4 linked regions of the Arabidopsis thaliana genome follow. The protein of the gene in region 1 interacts with the protein of each later gene in a pairwise test. Each region holds a gene or a part of one and is shown in the gene's direction. Other genes may lie near its edges. The genes, in order: BBX28, BBX13, BBX9 and BBX10.

What was found.
Region 2: the proteins of BBX28 (region 1) and BBX13 interact in a two-hybrid assay, tested with the Arabidopsis thaliana proteins (one large-scale study listed by BioGRID).
Region 3: the proteins of BBX28 (region 1) and BBX9 interact in a two-hybrid assay, tested with the Arabidopsis thaliana proteins (one large-scale study listed by BioGRID).
Region 4: the proteins of BBX28 (region 1) and BBX10 interact in a two-hybrid assay, tested with the Arabidopsis thaliana proteins (one large-scale study listed by BioGRID).

Annotation. Positions count from the first base shown.
Region 1 is NC_003075.7:13,673,556-13,677,696, forward strand, and holds BBX28 (B-box type zinc finger family protein), read left to right. Parts: upstream 1-1,981; 5' UTR 1,982-2,297; coding exon 2,298-2,882; intron 2,883-2,974; coding exon 2,975-3,061; 3' UTR 3,062-3,500; downstream 3,501-4,141.
Region 2 is NC_003070.9:9,774,795-9,779,897, reverse strand, and holds BBX13 (B-box type zinc finger protein with CCT domain-containing protein), read left to right. Parts: upstream 1-1,854; 5' UTR 1,855-2,240; coding exon 2,241-3,026; intron 3,027-3,217; coding exon 3,218-3,385; intron 3,386-3,669; coding exon 3,670-3,914; intron 3,915-4,027; coding exon 4,028-4,130; 3' UTR 4,131-4,376; downstream 4,377-5,103. Other genes in the region: AT1G28060 (Pre-mRNA-splicing factor 3), read right to left, coding at 1-141, 255-731; AT1G28040 (RING/U-box superfamily protein), read left to right, coding at 4,988-5,103.
Region 3 is NC_003075.7:8,708,978-8,713,445, reverse strand, and holds BBX9 (B-box type zinc finger protein with CCT domain-containing protein), read left to right. Parts: upstream 1-1,919; 5' UTR 1,920-1,961; exon of another isoform or gene 1,962-1,966; intron 1,967-2,269; 5' UTR 2,270-2,339; coding exon 2,340-2,828; intron 2,829-2,914; coding exon 2,915-3,297; intron 3,298-3,383; coding exon 3,384-3,504; 3' UTR 3,505-3,679; downstream 3,680-4,468. Other genes in the region: BBX30 (B-box type zinc finger family protein), read right to left, coding at 4,212-4,468.
Region 4 is NC_003074.8:7,704,452-7,709,118, forward strand, and holds BBX10 (B-box type zinc finger protein with CCT domain-containing protein), read left to right. Parts: upstream 1-1,805; 5' UTR 1,806-1,984; intron 1,985-2,198; 5' UTR 2,199-2,284; coding exon 2,285-2,782; intron 2,783-2,861; coding exon 2,862-3,089; intron 3,090-3,175; coding exon 3,176-3,426; intron 3,427-3,512; coding exon 3,513-3,642; 3' UTR 3,643-3,658; exon of another isoform or gene 3,659-3,739; intron 3,740-3,771; 3' UTR 3,772-3,895; downstream 3,896-4,667. Other genes in the region: CYCP2;1 (cyclin p2;1), read right to left, coding at 1-362.

The DNA of each region.
Region 1 (4,141 bases):
AAAGGAAAGAAAAAACGTGTACAAAAAGAGGCCCATGTTAATCATCATCCCTTAGGCCTTCTTAGCTTATGCATTGTCTCTTTGCTAGTCTTTTTCTCACAATCGTGTCGATATATTTTAAGGGTTTTTAACGTGTGGTTTTTCTGTAGGGAGCATTAGTAGAATTATTGATTGGTTTTATTCAAATATAGAATATATATATATATATATATATACATAAAACATTTATTGATGGATCATTGAATGTTCATTTGTTCGTTACAACATTTTCTTATTCAAATTTTATCGATCCTTGAATCAAAGACTTTGACATAAGCGAAACCATTGGTTACTTCTCTAAATTAAAATGAAATGGTAGTCTTCTAATAAATATATATGTTTAACAAACAAATTGGCATAATTTGATCGTTCTAACCAAAGATAGGATTTCGAATCCAAATTGGATGGGATGACTAGACTATTAGATATTTAGATCGATCACCAATCAAACAAAATAGGCGTGCTTTTATATTCATTAAGCTGGTTTAAAACAACAAACAATCCAGCATTTTTAATTTTAGTGGTTGAATAGTTAAGTTAATAAAATCAAAGATAAACAGAAAACAAACAGCTAGTTTTTCAAATTTTGGCGTTTAATTTTATTTGGAATATTTTTTTTTAATAAAACACACAAAAAAAAACTCTTTTGACAAAAATTGGCATCAATACTGCATATCGCATAGCCCCATACATACATGATACATGCCACATCTCTTAAAAGATGAGAACAAGAAGGGATGTATTTGAACTATTCTGACAATATTATATATACACACACATTTTGAATATGAATCTCTCTTCTTCAAAGTTCTGACTTGTTCCAAAATTCTTATCCACACAATGGAGGAAAAAAAGAAAAAGAAAAGCCACAATAATGAGCCATAACCACAACCACACCCACTCACCAGAGACTTTGTGTATCCGTGGCTCTCATCATGACATCTCATCTTCCTTTGATTCTTCACACCACCGTCGATCGCCACGTAGGATTTCCCCAAATCAAAGCATTCCACATAAGCACAATCTTTTATGTGGCCAGAGTTTAATCAACATTTGTTTTTCTTACAATGGGTTCGTGAGAGCCACAAATAAATCAACTATACGATTAAATAACCATATCTAACAAAAAAAAAAAACATTAAACAATTATAGTCCAAGTAAACAAATACTCGCCTACTATGTACCATATTAGAAAGTTTTTTATTCTCCCCCAATACCGATATATTATTTTGTAATTTAAAAATTCATTGTTATCTTATCCTCGCAAGAAACACAGATGTTTTGGATCAGTTTGGGAAGCGAAGAAGTATGGGAGAGAAGTAAAAAACAAAACAAGTGGTTTATAAAAAAAGAGGGAAAGATAATTGAACAAAGATACGTGGGGCCCATTAAACTTGTGTTATGGTCCAGACAAATCCCAGGTGGGCTCACGTGGCTACGAAGCCCATTGAGAACCTGATTCGTCCACGTAGGACGGGACAGAATCTCGCTCTCCTCCTTCCCCGGCTGAGATCTCGCCACGTCATCGACTAAATAAATCTCTCCCAAAAAAATATCTCGAAACTGAACCATGAGTTTGTCGCCACGTACAAACGGGGTTTGGCTTTGGCCCATACGCATTAATAACTGGTTTTCAAAAATCATTTAAACTTATTTATCCTAATAACGCATAATTAATGTGTTTTACTTAAACTGTAATGATTCTAAGTAGAAAATGTGAAACAGTATTTTTTATCCACAAGAAAAAATAAAACACAAGGATAAAGCTAAAAACAATAAAGAAAACATTACTGACTCAAGTAATTTAAATAATTGCAGCAGATATAGATCTGATAATTATCCAAACAAAAATCTCAAATAAAGGTTAAAGTGATAAACCCATCTCTAAAGCAAAAAGATTTTTAAGTTGAACCAATCCTTAATTGATTAAATACTATACGTTATTACAAAGTTAAATTGAAATGAAATGGATACTAACCACAGAATAAAAAAAAAAGGAAGGTGCTATATAAAATAGAGTCATTGTGAAACCAAAGAAGAGAAATAGATTTTTTAGCAGAAGGCAGAAAAAGACGAAACTAGCCTCCAAAGAATTGTTGAATCACAGAAAACTCGCCACGAAAAATATCCCAAATCCTGCAACTTGCACTTTCCTATTCTTCTTCTTCTTTCCTTATCTCTCCAAGGAACCAAAGCATAGACACAAAACGAACAACCACAGAAACTTGAAAGAGAGAAAGAGTTTGATTTTGATTAAAATGGGGAAGAAGTGTGATTTATGTAACGGTGTTGCAAGAATGTATTGCGAGTCAGATCAAGCTAGTTTATGTTGGGATTGCGACGGTAAAGTTCACGGCGCTAATTTCTTGGTAGCTAAACACACGCGTTGTCTTCTCTGTAGCGCTTGTCAGTCTCTTACGCCGTGGAAAGCTACTGGGCTTCGTCTTGGCCCAACTTTCTCCGTCTGCGAGTCATGCGTCGCTCTTAAAAACGCCGGCGGTGGCCGTGGAAACAGAGTTTTATCGGAGAATCGTGGTCAGGAGGAGGTTAATAGTTTCGAGTCCGAAGAAGATCGGATTAGAGAAGATCACGGTGACGGTGACGACGCGGAGTCTTACGATGATGATGAGGAAGAAGATGAGGATGAAGAGTACAGCGACGATGAGGATGAGGATGATGATGAGGATGGTGATGATGAGGAAGCGGAGAATCAAGTTGTGCCGTGGTCTGCGGCGGCGCAAGTTCCTCCGGTGATGAGTTCTTCATCTTCTGACGGAGGAAGCGGAGGTTCAGTGACGAAGAGGACGAGGGCTAGAGAGAATTCAGATCTTCTCTGCTCCGATGTATGGATCTATCTTTTTTAACTATTTTGTCGGGAAATTAACAGAGAAAGTTTTGGTTTTAATTATCGGTTTCGTTGTTTTGGAAAATGCAGGATGAGATCGGAAGCTCTTCAGCTCAAGGGTCAAACTATTCTCGGCCGTTGAAGCGATCGGCGTTTAAATCAACGGTTGTTGTTTAACTCACACTCTACCGTATCGTCAGAATGAACGGCGCCGATACATCGTCTTCTCCGATCTTTGCGATCTCCAAAACAAGAAGAGATCTCAGCCGTTGATTCCTTTTTTTTTCTTGTTTAAGTAAATCACCACCGTTCAGTTTTCTGACAATACTTTGTTTTAGAGATGAGGTAGTTTCTTTCTTTCTTTGAATGTCGTACAAAATCAAATCTTAACTTTTTATTTTTCTTATCAATATCATTATTATGTTGATTTTTTTTTTGTTAATCTACGTAAGTAAATTAATTTCGATTCGTAAGTTTATGACTTATGTTATATGATTATATTCAATGGATCAAAAGGAATGGGGGAGAGATTGGTGGCAGATGGACACAATGGTATACACATACCGTAAAAATAAAGTATATGATTTGCTTTGTAATTTCGACCACTCAATTGTGGGGACTACAAAGAAAATGAAATTAAATATGATAAAATTTCGAGAGATTTTTATAATGTAATGGGTCCTTGAGGTTACATTCATTCGCCAAGAACATTGAACCTGTCATATCTGCCGCGTCTGTGAACTGTGTTTGATGGTCCATAAAATATTGACACCCCCATGTTTTACCTTATAACGTTATCTCACCATGTTCTTCATTCACATGACAGGATCACATCTTTGTTCACCATAGTTCTTTCGATTTTAATTTAAAATTTTACTCCTATTGGTTTCGTGTGTGTCATTTGGGTCCTATATACATACATCAAAACCGTTTATCCCTTCTTTTTTTTAACCACTTGATTCTCTGGCTTACCGAGGAACTGGTGTTGTGGGGGTTGGACAGTTGGGTCTCTCTCGAATTAATTTGAATAAAACATGTGGTTCTCATTTAAACTACATATTCTTTTAACGCAAATTCTTATATTGTTTCAATTTATAAGTTTTTATACGATTCCAACAAAACAAAACAAAACATTCGAAATTTAAACTCATTATAAAATCGATATAAGAAAGTAGAAAATATTTGTTAGGAAATTCGCTGGGTTTCACTATCAACGCATGACTAGCGTCAAATACTTCAACCATTAGTCCATAGTTC
Region 2 (5,103 bases), on another chromosome or scaffold:
AGATTTTCCAGGAACCTCATGAGATCTGACAACACTAGCCTTATTTTCATCCGTTGTAGATATCGAAGATACCTTAGTGAGCAGTGTTTGACTAGGGGCAGCAGAAGCTTCCGATGGAATAGAACTATATGTAGAGGCTCCCTGCACAAAAAAAGAAAATGCAAGCATTAGCTAGCGAAGAAGACTAGAGGTAATCATGAACAAATCGCAAGTAGCAAACAAAGAAGATTAACGAAAAGGTATAAAGAACTCACCATCGTAACGCCACTGGTTGGATTCGTAGCCCCAGAACCCTCAGAGACTTGAGCATCTTTGTTCTCAACTTCAATAGCCACATCCTCAAACCTGCTCCTCCTCTCACCATTCCCATCAGCAAACCTAGATTTCTTCTTCCCATCCCTAGCCCCATTCTCTTCCTCTCTATCTTTCCTCTTGCTCCTCGATTCCTTCTCTTTACTACCTTCGTGAGACCTCTCATGGTGATGCTTTTCCCTATCTCTACTCCCTTCTCTCTCGCCTCGCTCTACAGATCTCCCTCTTCTATCCTTGGTCCTATCTCTCTCATCTTCCCTATCGCCGCGCCTCGATGAACGGTAGTGATCTGAATCACGACGCTTCGAATCAACATCGCGGTCACGGCGGCGTCCTCCTTCACGTTGTGGAGAATGGTCGGGACTCGAATCTCGATCACGATCGTCACGGTGGCTCCTGGAATATCTCTCCTTATCCATGGCAGAATTTAGGGTTTATTCCTAACAACAATTTGCTTCTGATTCGCCGGTCCTATAAATATACGAAAATTCACAACCGGAATAAACCAGCGATTCAGATTAGAACCAAAACGACCAGCGAAACCAAGTTCTGAATCAGATTTTTGTTCCTTCCGGAAAAATCCTAAAGGGAGCGAAACGATACCGGATCCGGAAGATATATAATCCAATCACCGGACTACAAGCTTCCCTTATGGGCTGAAGCCCATTTTTGAGTTCCTTCTTGAGATAGTTCTTCAATTTTGAGTCTAATGGGCTTTTATATCATCTTTTACTTAAAAAAAAAAAAATCGACGATTCATCTTCTATAGAGATATATGAAAATTCAAGCTATTTATCTTTAAAAAGAAAAATATTTGATGTCAGGTCGCAGTTTTCTTACAAGCAGAAATCCAAACTCTTCATACCAACTATTTTTGGAATAAACAAGATTTCTTTGCCAAGAGTTTTCATACCAACTATTTTTTGGATAAATAAGATTTCTTTGCCAAGAGATTTCCACAAGTTGACCACAAATTAAACATTCGATCAAAACTCAAGAATTCAAATATAGAAGTATATAACGCATATATTCCGCTTTGACTCAAAAAAGAAAAAACCCGCTCATATACTGTATTATGTATAGTCTGAATCACAAACTCTCTAACACGTGAAATTTAATGCGTTAGTCAAGAATCGTTCCGATTGTTACCACTCCCCAGGAACTTTTTCAAGATATTTATACCTCAGAATGATAGCACTTTACAAATAAGTTATACTTTTTTTCAAAACAAAAAAAAACAACTTATTGAAGTCTATGGACAAAAAGAAAATATCTAACATGAATCCTAAAATATCTTTACGATTTTAATTTTATCACATCTTTTGTCAAGAACTCGTGTGTAGCAGTTTATTATGCACATAAATATATGCTATACATTACGCTGCAATGTTCGTAAATACTAGTTCCAGAAAAAGACGATTCCAGCCGTTATTACACTGATCAAAAAGTTATTGCTATATACGGAAAGAATTAATCCCATAAAAATCATGTGCTTTGAACTAACTTTCCCTTTATACGTTAAAATAGATATTTAGGTGAAAAAGCAGATTAGATATTTTCTCTTAGATTCTCTGTCACAGTCAACGTAAGCTTCGCCGTCTGAACAATGGCGACTCTCTCAGCACGCTTTTACACCGTCAGATCTCAACATATCTCAATCTGAACAATCCATCATACACAAGTTCCATACATCGCAACACAGAAAAACAAATCCCTAACCCCAAACTGTTTACAATAATTAGCTTCGTTGTCTTCTTCATTCCAAAAGATTTGCAGATAATTTTGACAAAGCCCCCCAAAAAAAAAAAGAGTTCAAAATGAAAAACGTGAGAAATGGATTTGTCATCATTCTTCTCACCGTCCTTAGTCTCTGAAAATAAATTCTGATTTTGATTTCGAATTTTAGGGATTTTGAGAGAGAGTCAGTTATGAGTAGTTCGGAGAGAGTACCGTGCGATTTCTGCGGCGAGCGTACGGCGGTTTTGTTTTGTAGAGCCGATACGGCGAAGCTGTGTTTGCCTTGTGATCAGCAAGTTCACACGGCGAATCTGTTGTCGAGGAAGCACGTGCGATCTCAGATCTGCGATAATTGCGGTAACGAGCCAGTCTCTGTTCGGTGTTTCACCGATAATCTGATTTTGTGTCAGGAGTGTGATTGGGATGTTCACGGAAGTTGTTCAGTTTCCGATGCTCATGTTCGATCCGCCGTGGAAGGTTTTTCCGGTTGTCCATCGGCGTTGGAGCTTGCTGCTTTATGGGGACTTGATTTGGAGCAAGGGAGGAAAGATGAAGAGAATCAAGTTCCGATGATGGCGATGATGATGGATAATTTCGGGATGCAGTTGGATTCTTGGGTTTTGGGATCTAATGAATTGATTGTTCCCAGCGATACGACGTTTAAGAAGCGTGGATCTTGTGGATCTAGTTGTGGGAGGTATAAGCAGGTATTGTGTAAGCAGCTTGAGGAGTTGCTTAAGAGTGGTGTTGTCGGTGGTGATGGCGATGATGGTGATCGTGACCGTGATTGTGACCGTGAGGGTGCTTGTGATGGAGATGGAGATGGAGAAGCAGGAGAGGGGCTTATGGTTCCGGAGATGTCAGAGAGATTGAAATGGTCAAGAGATGTTGAGGAGATCAATGGTGGCGGAGGAGGAGGAGTTAACCAGCAGTGGAATGCTACTACTACTAATCCTAGTGGTGGCCAGAGTTCTCAGGTTTTGCTTATCTCTCTTTTGATTTTTTTGGCTAAGAACAGTTTAGTTTTTTCTGTTAATGAGCAAGTGAGATTAAGTGGTGAAATGTTTTTGTGTAAGGTCAAATATAGTCACTCTGTGTGGTTTTATGGTTTCTCAAGAAGATAAAAAAATGAAAGGTTTCTTAACCTGTGTTGTGAACTTGTATACAGATATGGGATTTTAACTTGGGACAGTCACGGGGACCTGAGGATACGAGTCGAGTGGAAGCTGCATATGTAGGGAAAGGTGCTGCTTCTTCATTCACAATCAACAATTTTGTTGACCATATGAATGAAACTTGTTCCACTAATGTGAAAGGTGTCAAAGAGATTAAAAAGGTAATAGTTCTCATTAACCTTAGTCATTTAAGTAGAGTAGTGTTTAAAACACAATACGTTGTCATCTCCCGTTCATCCTCAAAAATTGTTGTAGACAGTTGCTTCTTTTAGTGAATGATAGAATTCAGAACATGAAACCTAGTCAGAAAAAAGTTACAAGCTGGTTTGCTTTTCTTTGTTTTACCTCATCACCAAGCCACCAATTCTAACATTTTGGCTTATGATATATATTTGCTAGACTGCTATGCAACTTAACTGTGATGCTGATTAGGATTCTTTTGCAGGATGACTACAAGCGATCAACTTCAGGCCAGGTACAACCAACAAAATCTGAGAGCAACAATCGTCCAATTACCTTTGGCTCTGAGAAAGGTTCGAACTCCTCCAGTGACTTGCATTTCACAGAGCATATTGCTGGAACTAGTTGTAAGACCACAAGACTAGTTGCAACTAAGGCTGATCTGGAGCGGCTGGCTCAGAACAGAGGAGATGCAATGCAGCGTTACAAGGAAAAGAGGAAGACACGGAGGTAAATGCTGCTTTTTTCTTTCCCCTTTAATAATTTTTTATTGCCCATCTCCCTTAAAGAATCTGATACCATATTTCGTTTCTCCCTTTGTCTTGGATCTCGGGTGCCAACAGATATGATAAGACCATAAGGTATGAATCGAGGAAGGCAAGAGCTGACACTAGGTTGCGTGTCAGAGGCAGATTTGTGAAAGCTAGTGAAGCTCCTTACCCTTAACCTTAAGTCTCTTCACATAGGCTTCCTTTTAGCTACAAACTTAGTTACTTTTTTTACTTCCACTGCCTCATAAATGTACAGACCGGTCTCGTTTCATCTGGCCGCCCTTCTGTTTTATTGCCTTATCTGGCCCTTTTATGTACCTTGGAATCTTATCTAGTTTAAAAAAGATTGTAACCTTCTAGAAAACCATATTCTGTTGACAGTATATACATGTCTATCCAAGCATTTTGAAGTCTCACAAGCTAATACGCCTTGATACTCTTTGTTTTAAAAACCCTGACTTATGGCTGTTAATCAAAGTTTTCCAAGTCCAGTTCGCAGATGGCGAGCGGATCTGCGGCTGTGGTTCTTCGTTGCTGTTTCTTTGGTGGTTCTGGCTGTGTTGGCCAATTCAGAAGGTATAAATCTCCCTACTTAAAGAGTTACTCACAGGCGAAATTCCACAATCAGTTTATTCTAGTGTATAATACATGTAGTGGATGTTGTATAATGTTTATGCTTGAATGTCATATAGCTCTGCAGACGTGGGATCCGATGCAGGTGACAATTCTTCTTAAAAGACAACTAATTCTCTGACTTTCCTCTTAGTGACTATAAGAATAGACCAATTCTCTATTAAATTTTTCGTTTAACAATTCCCTCAATCAAGAATTCTCTTCTCTGTATTTCTCCTCTCCATCTTTATCTTACCTCTCCGAAACGCCTTGAACCCTCAAAAATGTCCTTCATCCTACTCGGATTCATATCTTAATAAATGTGAACCACTTGGAATCCCCATTCGTTTTCCTTTCTGCGGCAATCCAGGATTCAATCTCCACTGCAACAACCTCGATAAGACAGTCCTAGAGCTTCCTATGTCCGGAACATTTCTTGTCGATGAAATCAACTACCAAAAGCAGCAGATTTCTATCAGCGACCCTGAAAACTGTATGGTTAAAAGGCTTTTAACCTTCAATACTTCAGGATCTCC
Region 3 (4,468 bases), 5.0 Mb from region 1:
AGGTCTGTGACTATTTTCGTTTGTGTATATATGTTGAAATTGGTGATATTTAAGGTTTTTGTGAAAGAGATTTGTGATGTCTTAGTTTTATGGGATGTGGAAGGGGTTGAATATGGTGATGATACAAGAGTATTGTGGACTAGAGTTTCAGATCTGGGATTCTTCTCCCAGAAGTTGAAGATTAACCCTTGGCTGTCTGAGTATTAATTCCCCTTTCACCCAAAATCTTATCTTTTGATTGGTTTGAAGACAAATTTCTCTGTTATTGTTTTTTTTTGTTGGTTGATGTTTTTCCACTTATAAGCTTATGATGATAGAAAACAATTATCTTAGCGGATTTCAGTGAGGTTTTTCAATCAATGATCTGAATTTGTTACACACACTGAGGCTTTTTTTTTTTTTTAATGTTTGGCTTTTGTTTAGTTGGATTATTGTTAATAGGTTTGATTGATGTTTGTATGTACTTGTTTTGGGTTATAAAGCTGATGATGATAAAAACAATTATCTTAGCGGATTTCAGTGAGGTTTTTGAATCAATGAACTGAATTTGTTACACACACTGAAGCTTATTTGTTCTTTCAATGTTTTTTGTTTTGTTTTGTTGGATTACTGTTATGGGTTTGATGATGATGATGCAATGATGAGATGAAAGCACGAAGAGTGTGAGAAGAGCAGTGGGTTTACCGTGAGCTCTCCTTTAAAACGACTTCTCCTTCCACTGAGCATTTTTTATCAAAAATTTTGCCCTATTGAAGAAAGAGTTTTAGTGTTTTTTGTTTTTGTATTGGCGTCCATTACCAATTCTGAAGGATAAAAACAGTTCCTTCAGGTATAATGGCTTGTGACGCTATATTGGTTGTGGTATATCCTGATCTTTTTGCTTTTTTCCATGCCTTTTGATCCTGGAAATGCCTCGCACATTATATCAATTGGTTTTGTTTTTCCTCTTTTTTAATACCGGAAGAGATTAGCTAGTTATTCTTTGATTTTCAGTTGGTGGAAGGGCTTTATGAAAACAATTGGTGTGTTTAAATGTTATGTTTTCTTCACTACTTTTGCAAAATAAGTGGTTAACAAAACAATTGAAAACTATGAGCTGATTTTTGGACGAATAATGGATTTAGCGTTCCTATAGAATTGATTAACAAAACAATTGACTTATCAGGAAACAATTGTTTGGTCGAATGAGCTGCTTTTTGGACATCTAATGAAATCTTTTGGCAAACAAACAATGACAACCAGACTGGTCATGCCATGAGCGACCTTTTCAGCTAATGCCAGCAGTTACTGTCTGTTGAATTGTTTACAAGTACATTTAGCCTTTTTTGGCATGGAATGCATTGGGAGATGTTTCAAAAATAGTACATTTAGCCTTTTTACTGAGGCTGGTAAAAAATCGTAAACGAATATCAATCGTTGTCACAAAGTTTTCTCTCTTAAAACATGATCGCTCACTAGAATTTCAATCATTTAAGTGCTTCTAACATCTCATATTTTAAGTTGTGAAAACACACTTAGTAAAATTAGTGAGAAATAGATACAATAACTATCCATAACCACAGGTTAATGAAACCGGACTAGTATGCTGCAAACTCCTAGATCCATTAAACCAACACTCGGAATAAATTGCTTCGAACTAGTCTTATTACTCGGATGTTTTGAATAACAAGAAAAACGTGTTCAAAATTAATGACATTTACACGTTTTTTTATTAACAATTCTCGAAATTCTTGCGAGCCACAGAAAGTACCTAAAGAATCAAACAAAAACTCCGAATTGTATGGTCAACCACATTATGACATCAACAAAATCTAAGGAACAATAAAACCACACGTGACAAAAGATACCCCGCGTGGCAAACCCGCTTAACAAGGTGGACCCCACACAGGATAAAAACAGAGCAAAACCTTTTCTTCTCTGTTCTTTCTCATCTCCTTCTCACTGGACTCTCACACACCCTTGTAAAGCTTCTAATCTCTGGAACCCTGAAACATAAACAATTTTACACGATTATTGTTATACTCTTGTTTAGAAAAAACTCTGTAATTAACTGGTTATGAGTTTCTAGACATTGTGATTTTAGTACTGATTCGGTCTCGAGAATCCACATTTTCTTAGTTTGTGAGTGTTTCTCTAACATTCAAACACAACCATGTATTAGTCACAGTCACAGTCACACATTAAAAAGATACATGAACCTATAATGAATCGTAATTTTGTTTGATCTCTGAATGTTCTGTTTTTGTCTCACGATCCTTCTATGCTATAGGATTTTAGGTGTGTGTAGCGATTGGGATTGAGAAATCGTTATTTCTTTGGAGTTTTGTCTTCGAAGAAGTATGGAGGCTCGATGTGACTTTTGTGGAACCGAAAAAGCATTAATCTACTGCAAATCTGATTCGGCTAAACTTTGTTTAAACTGTGACGTTAATGTACACTCAGCGAATCCTCTGTCTCAAAGACACACGCGATCTCTACTCTGCGAGAAATGTTCCTTACAACCCACGGCAGTACACTGTATGAACGAAAATGTTTCTCTTTGCCAAGGATGTCAGTGGACCGCTAGTAACTGCACTGGTTTAGGACACAGACTTCAGAGTCTGAACCCTTACTCTGATTGTCCTTCTCCATCAGATTTCGGCAAGATCTGGTCTTCAACTTTAGAACCTTCTGTCACAAGTTTGGTCTCTCCATTTTCTGATACCCTGCTCCAGGAATTAGACGATTGGAATGGTTCATCAACTTCCGTGGTTACACAAACTCAGAACCTTAAAGACTATTCTTCTTTCTTTCCTATGGAATCTAATCTTCCAAAAGTGATAGAAGAGGTGACGTGTTGTTTAAGTAATATATCAAAATGTTTCATTTATGATAAAGAAGAATGTTTTTCATTTATATTCCGTTCTATATGCAGGAATGTTCTGGTTTGGATCTATGCGAAGGGATAAACTTAGATGATGCGCCGTTGAATTTCAACGCAAGCAATGATATAATCGGATGTTCATCACTTGACAATACCAAATGTTACGAGTACGAGGATTCTTTTAAGGAAGAGAATAACATTGGCCTTCCTTCATTACTGCTTCCTACTTTATCCGGGAACGTTGTACCGAACATGTCACTTTCGATGTCTAACCTCACAGGAGAAAGCAATGCGACTGATTACCAAGATTGCGGAATTTCACCAGGGTTTCTCATAGGAGATTCGCCATGGGAATCGAATGTTGAAGTTAGTTTTAATCCAAAATTAAGGGATGAGGCTAAAAAGAGATACAAACAAAAGAAATCAAAGCGCATGTAAGTTTTTGAGACACATAATCAGAGTCATTATCATGCTTTTAAAACATAATCTCATTGATATTTGTGGTACCAATTTCTTCTAGGTTTGGGAAGCAAATAAGATATGCATCACGCAAAGCCAGAGCTGATACGAGAAAACGGGTCAAAGGGAGATTTGTAAAATCTGGAGAAACTTTTGAGTATGATCCGTCACTGGTGATGTGAACTAGTGAATCTTCACTGCGGAACTAAAGAATAATCTGACTCCATCCACGGGATTAACAGTTTCTTGTCGGAGAAGTAACAAAAAAAAAACATAAAATTCTCTTCTTGAGAAAGTATACAAGATCAAACTACAAAGACTTAAAATCATCGCAAAGGTGATTCCAAAATGGAGATTAAAAAAAAAAAAAACTGAAAGTTGCTCTTTTTACTAGAGAATTTCCACTGTTTTTTGATGCAACCACAAAACCTACCGGTCATACAGGCATTAATTAGGCATACAGCTACGAGACGATCAGACAAAATCAGAAACCAAAAAACAAAACAAGAGTCGTTGACTCTTTCCTACTTATAGCTCCTTAATCTCAATTACATGTTAATCATAGAAAAATATATCTTCTTTGTGTTTTGGACCACTCTCCACCTTCCATTTCACTTGATTGTAATTTGTAACGTTGTATTGTTTTCCTAGTTAAGAAAAATAAAGCCAAAGAATAAAGGCAGATTATGTTTGCCATAGGAAGATTTGTTCTTGATTTCTTATAGCTTACTATTGGGACCGCATTATTTTACTATTAAATCAATATGTTTTCTAGGTGTTCATATATTACTTTTAAGCTTTAGAATGAAAATATACATTCTTAGAACATTTCCAGAGAAAAAACCCTACCAATATTTAATCTTAATTACGCGAAAAACAAAACATAAAATCAGAGAAACACAAAGGGAATTTTGTGATCACTACTATGTTCTTCAATCCTTGCTATCATCCTTATCTCCGGTAAAACAACATTAAAATTATCACCGACAAGACATCGACGAGTTAGCTTCCGACAGGTCGTGCAGATCACGCGCCGGAGATGTCTCCGAGCTAGAAAATTAGCAGAATGGACCCATCGATCGCATTTCCTACAAAGGAAAGCTGCGTCTGCCTCACAATACACGGTGGCGTTCTCGCCGCAAAGCT
Region 4 (4,667 bases), on another chromosome or scaffold:
ATCATGACACAAGTGACGAGGAGTCTATGAACATTCAAGGAGACAACCAAAGAACCAGGATGCTTATGAGCCAACCGGTCTATGTACACATACCCAACAACGAAACATGCCGGGCTACATTTTGTGTACTTATATATCCTCTCAAGGTATTTAGCTATACTTATGCTCGGCGCTCTCACGCCGTGAAACGCCTCCAAGCTCTTCCCAAATCCCTTAGTTTGCTTAGCTAACCACTCGTTTCGTGCCACGAGCTTCTCCATCACATGGGAGATTATAGTCAGCACTCTTGGAGTGGCTGCTTCCGTTGCCGATTCTGGTCCCACGACCGGGTCCAGTTCATCGTCTCCGGCTGCGGTTAACATGGGTTCTCTTCAGTTTTCGTTAATGGGCCATGTTGTATAGTTCGTTTTGGGTATATATGGCTTGTAGATTGGGTGGTTGAGATACGATGAGCTTAAGATGTTACGTGGGGATGTTATCATGTTTCGTCTGACTTTGGACGAGTGTGAGATGGTTTTGACACGTGTCACTTCGCGAGAAGATAGGATTCCGATGATTTTTGTATACCTTGAGCAATGAAATTAGTTATCATTTATCAAACAAATAACTTTATTTTCCACTTAATTTTCTGCATATTACTAGCATTATTACCCAAAATTAAGTTTCCGGGTCTTGGTCCATAATTTTCTCGTCCGGTACAATTTCCTTTGAAAAGTCTCACAGTACACAAATTTTACTACATACGCTGGAATATATTCTTGATGTAAATACTATATATAGATGTAAATTAATGTTAGATACATTATTTGAAAAAAGGCATACGCGTTGCCGGTCACTGCATACATGTTTAATGTTTTGATAAGGAGAGTTTATGCATAGGTCATATAATGTTATGTGGCCATTTTTTCTTATCTCTGTTTTGAAGTTCATTTATCTTTGTTTACGTTAATAGTTATCATGTTTCTTACTTTTATCTATCAAATCTATATATCATTTTCTTTGCATAAGGCATTTTTTTCTTAAATTGTATCCTTTTAAATAGTTAGGTTGGTGTGCAACTTCTTAAAAAGAAAAGTTAGTTCTTTGAGGATTATATCAAAAGATAATTACTAGTTCAAATTTTACAATTTTCTTTTAGAAACAAATTTTTTACGAAATAGCTGACAACATTTTTTAGGTTAGGAATCCCAAAATTTGAGGGTAGCCTGATCAAAAAGTTAGAAATGCTAACAACTTATTTCTATTCAAGAGTCAACTGCATAGCCATTATACATGCATGTACATTAAACTGATGATAATATAGAAGTTGATGTGGCCTAGTCTATTTCAAATGAAATGACTCAATGATCTCACATCTATATATCAAATGTTAGAGATACCAAAAGACATCACACAATTCAGAAAAACTGATAACTCTTTCAAACTAGTTGAGAACATATTTTCGAAAAAGAAACGTACGTGGCTCAATATTCAAGTAAATTACGACATGTATTACACGTATAAACGATATCAATAAATTTATTGGGAACCACAAGTAAGTAACACTAGTAATAGCTAGTATCGACCCGAAACAACGAGTTTTAAGGTTTGCCACAGAGCACAAAATCTATCGAGCAAGAAAAAAATCAGATAGTACTATCTTGACAAGCGATATAATCACAATTACCTATGCATGTCTTCATAATAAATCACGTCAAGGCTCATAATTACGCCACGTGGATTTTAACCGCGTGGACACACGTTTTCACAAGGTATAAAAGAAGCAACCCTACCTCTCTTTCTTCTACGTGATTCGCACACCACTGTAAAAGTGTAAAAAAACTCTTTTTTTGTTCTTCTTCACATTTCATTCGATTCAAAAAATATTCTGTTCTTAGATTGTAATCTGTTTTTTTTTCTGTAATCTCCCATTATTGGGTTTTGAATTTCTCGTCATTTTACGAAAAAGGTTGTGAATCGGCCTAATCGATCTCGGTCGTCATAAGTGAGTGCTTCTTCCTCCGTATTAGCTCTCAAAAACATTTGTGTTTCTATTTGAAACGTAACAATTTACGATATTTTTCCTCACAAATTAATGTAATTGAAACACAAAACCCTATCATGCATGATGCACCCATATATTACCATCTTTAATTCCAAAATCATCATTTTCCTTCCATGATTTGTATCTGAAATGGTCATGCATCTATGTTGCGCAGGATCTTACGTGTGTTTTACTAATCGTGAAACAATATCAACGTCAGATTCTTCTCTATACACTTTTCTTTAAGTTTACCCAATCATCATGTCTCCAAGTATGGAGCCAAAGTGTGACCATTGTGCAACCTCGCAAGCATTGATTTACTGCAAATCCGATTTGGCTAAACTATGCCTAAACTGCGACGTCCATGTACACTCTGCGAATCCTCTGTCTCACAGGCACATACGCTCTTTGATCTGCGAGAAATGCTTCTCACAGCCAGCCGCAATCCGCTGTCTCGACGAGAAGGTTTCATACTGCCAAGGATGTCATTGGCACGAAAGCAACTGTTCGGAGTTAGGACACAGAGTTCAGAGCTTGAATCCTTTCTCTGGTTGTCCTTCTCCTACAGATTTTAACAGAATGTGGTCTTCAATTCTTGAACCTCCTGTCTCCGGCTTGCTTAGTCCGTTCGTTGGTTCTTTTCCCTTGAATGATCTCAACAATACCATGTTCGATACCGCTTATTCCATGGTACCACACAACATCAGTTACACTCAGAATTTCAGTGATAATTTGTCTTTCTTTTCCACGGAATCTAAGGTAATAATTAAAGGAGTGAAAAGTGTTCCTTATAAGTTCTTGATGAAAAATACAGTTCTTATTTGTGTGTATGTTCCAGGGATATCCTGATATGGTTCTTAAACTTGAAGAAGGAGAAGAAGATCTATGTGAAGGGCTTAACTTGGATGATGCACCATTAAACTTTGACGTAGGAGATGATATTATCGGATGTTCATCAGAAGTACACATAGAACCGGACCATACGGTACCAAATTGCCTATTGATTGACAAGACTAACACATCCAGCTTTACCGGCTCCAACTTTACTGTAGACAAGGCTCTAGAGGTCTCTTTCGCTTTTTTGTTGTCGTTGTTGTAGTTTCTAGTACCTCAAGAAAGTTTCTAATATAAATTGTGTTATTCTGTTTCCAGGCATCGCCACCAGGTCAGCAAATGAACATCAACACTGGACTTCAGCTTCCTCTATCACCTGTCTTGTTCGGACAAATCCATCCATCTCTTAACATCACTGGTGAAAACAATGCAGCTGATTACCAGGATTGTGGGATGTCTCCAGGGTTTATAATGAGTGAAGCGCCATGGGAAACGAATTTTGAAGTTAGTTGTCCACAAGCAAGAAACGAGGCTAAGTTGAGATACAAGGAGAAGAAATTAAAGCGCTCGTAAGTTTATTACTAATCATTACAAAACAGAGTTTATACCAACTTGGATCAGGTTTAATGGTGTTTTTCTTTTTTTTTAATTGTAGTTTTGGGAAACAGATTCGATATGCATCTCGCAAAGCAAGAGCTGACACGAGGAAAAGAGTGAAAGGAAGATTTGTGAAAGCTGGTGACAGTTATGATTATGATCCATCATCACCGACGACGAACAATTGAAATTTACAAAAATAATGTACAGTCTTCTTTCCCAAACAGACTTAAACCATGCTTCATGATGATGATAAAGGTTGGTAAAAACAGTTTCTTGTCGGGAAAGTAATGTATTGTTTGTCTTATTGTGTATAGTTTTTGTGAATCGAAGAAATCAACATGTTGAGGCATGGGAACGTTGGAGAACTAAATAAAGTTGGTGGAAAGCCAAAATGGTGAAAATTATTTAGTAACTTCTTTTATTTACAGAATCTCTTTTGTTTTTGATTATTTTTAAGTTGGGTTTTTCCTTTTATAGGACAAATCCTAATTTATCTCTTTATAAATAAATTTCCTAGCTGTTTTTTTTTTTATTAATAATAAAGTAGCAGTGATTACAATCTGCTCCATTACAGAGCTCGCGTTTAACGTGTTTCAAGAGAACAATTCTCTACTTATTAAGCATTGCATTATGAAGATGTTTCACTTGCAAAAAGTTTAGTTATTACCCCACTGGTTTAGAACCAATTGGTTCTTAGTTTTGAATCTTAACCTTATTTTAAATTAAAATGTTGTTTTTACTAAGTTAAGAAAAGTTAGGAGGAAGTTTAACTAATTTCTATTTCAATGGTTAAGAACTATTGGATTCTTAAAAAACAACAATTCAAAAATGTCTATCCACTCAAAATACAACACATATACTCTTCTTAGTTTTAAGAAAACATCTTAATTAAGATGTTTATCTTAGCTAAGGTTTGTTGTTTCATTAAATTTAATCACTTTTATTGCTAAGAATACAAGGCTGGAGTTGCTTTTATGTACCTTTAAATTAAGGAAAATGACAAGTCCAAAGAAGTAGTGAGAAAGATTTACTACACTAAAATAAATATCTAACAAAATACCAAACAGAGAGTTTGGTGAGTTAATTTTTTTTTACAGCAGTTTTATGGAACTTTTTGTTTGTTGGTTACAAACATTGCTTAGTAGAAAAAAGCAAAAGATTCGAAGAATAACTCAATAACAACAAACGATCCTTGTTTCTTCCCTTTCTA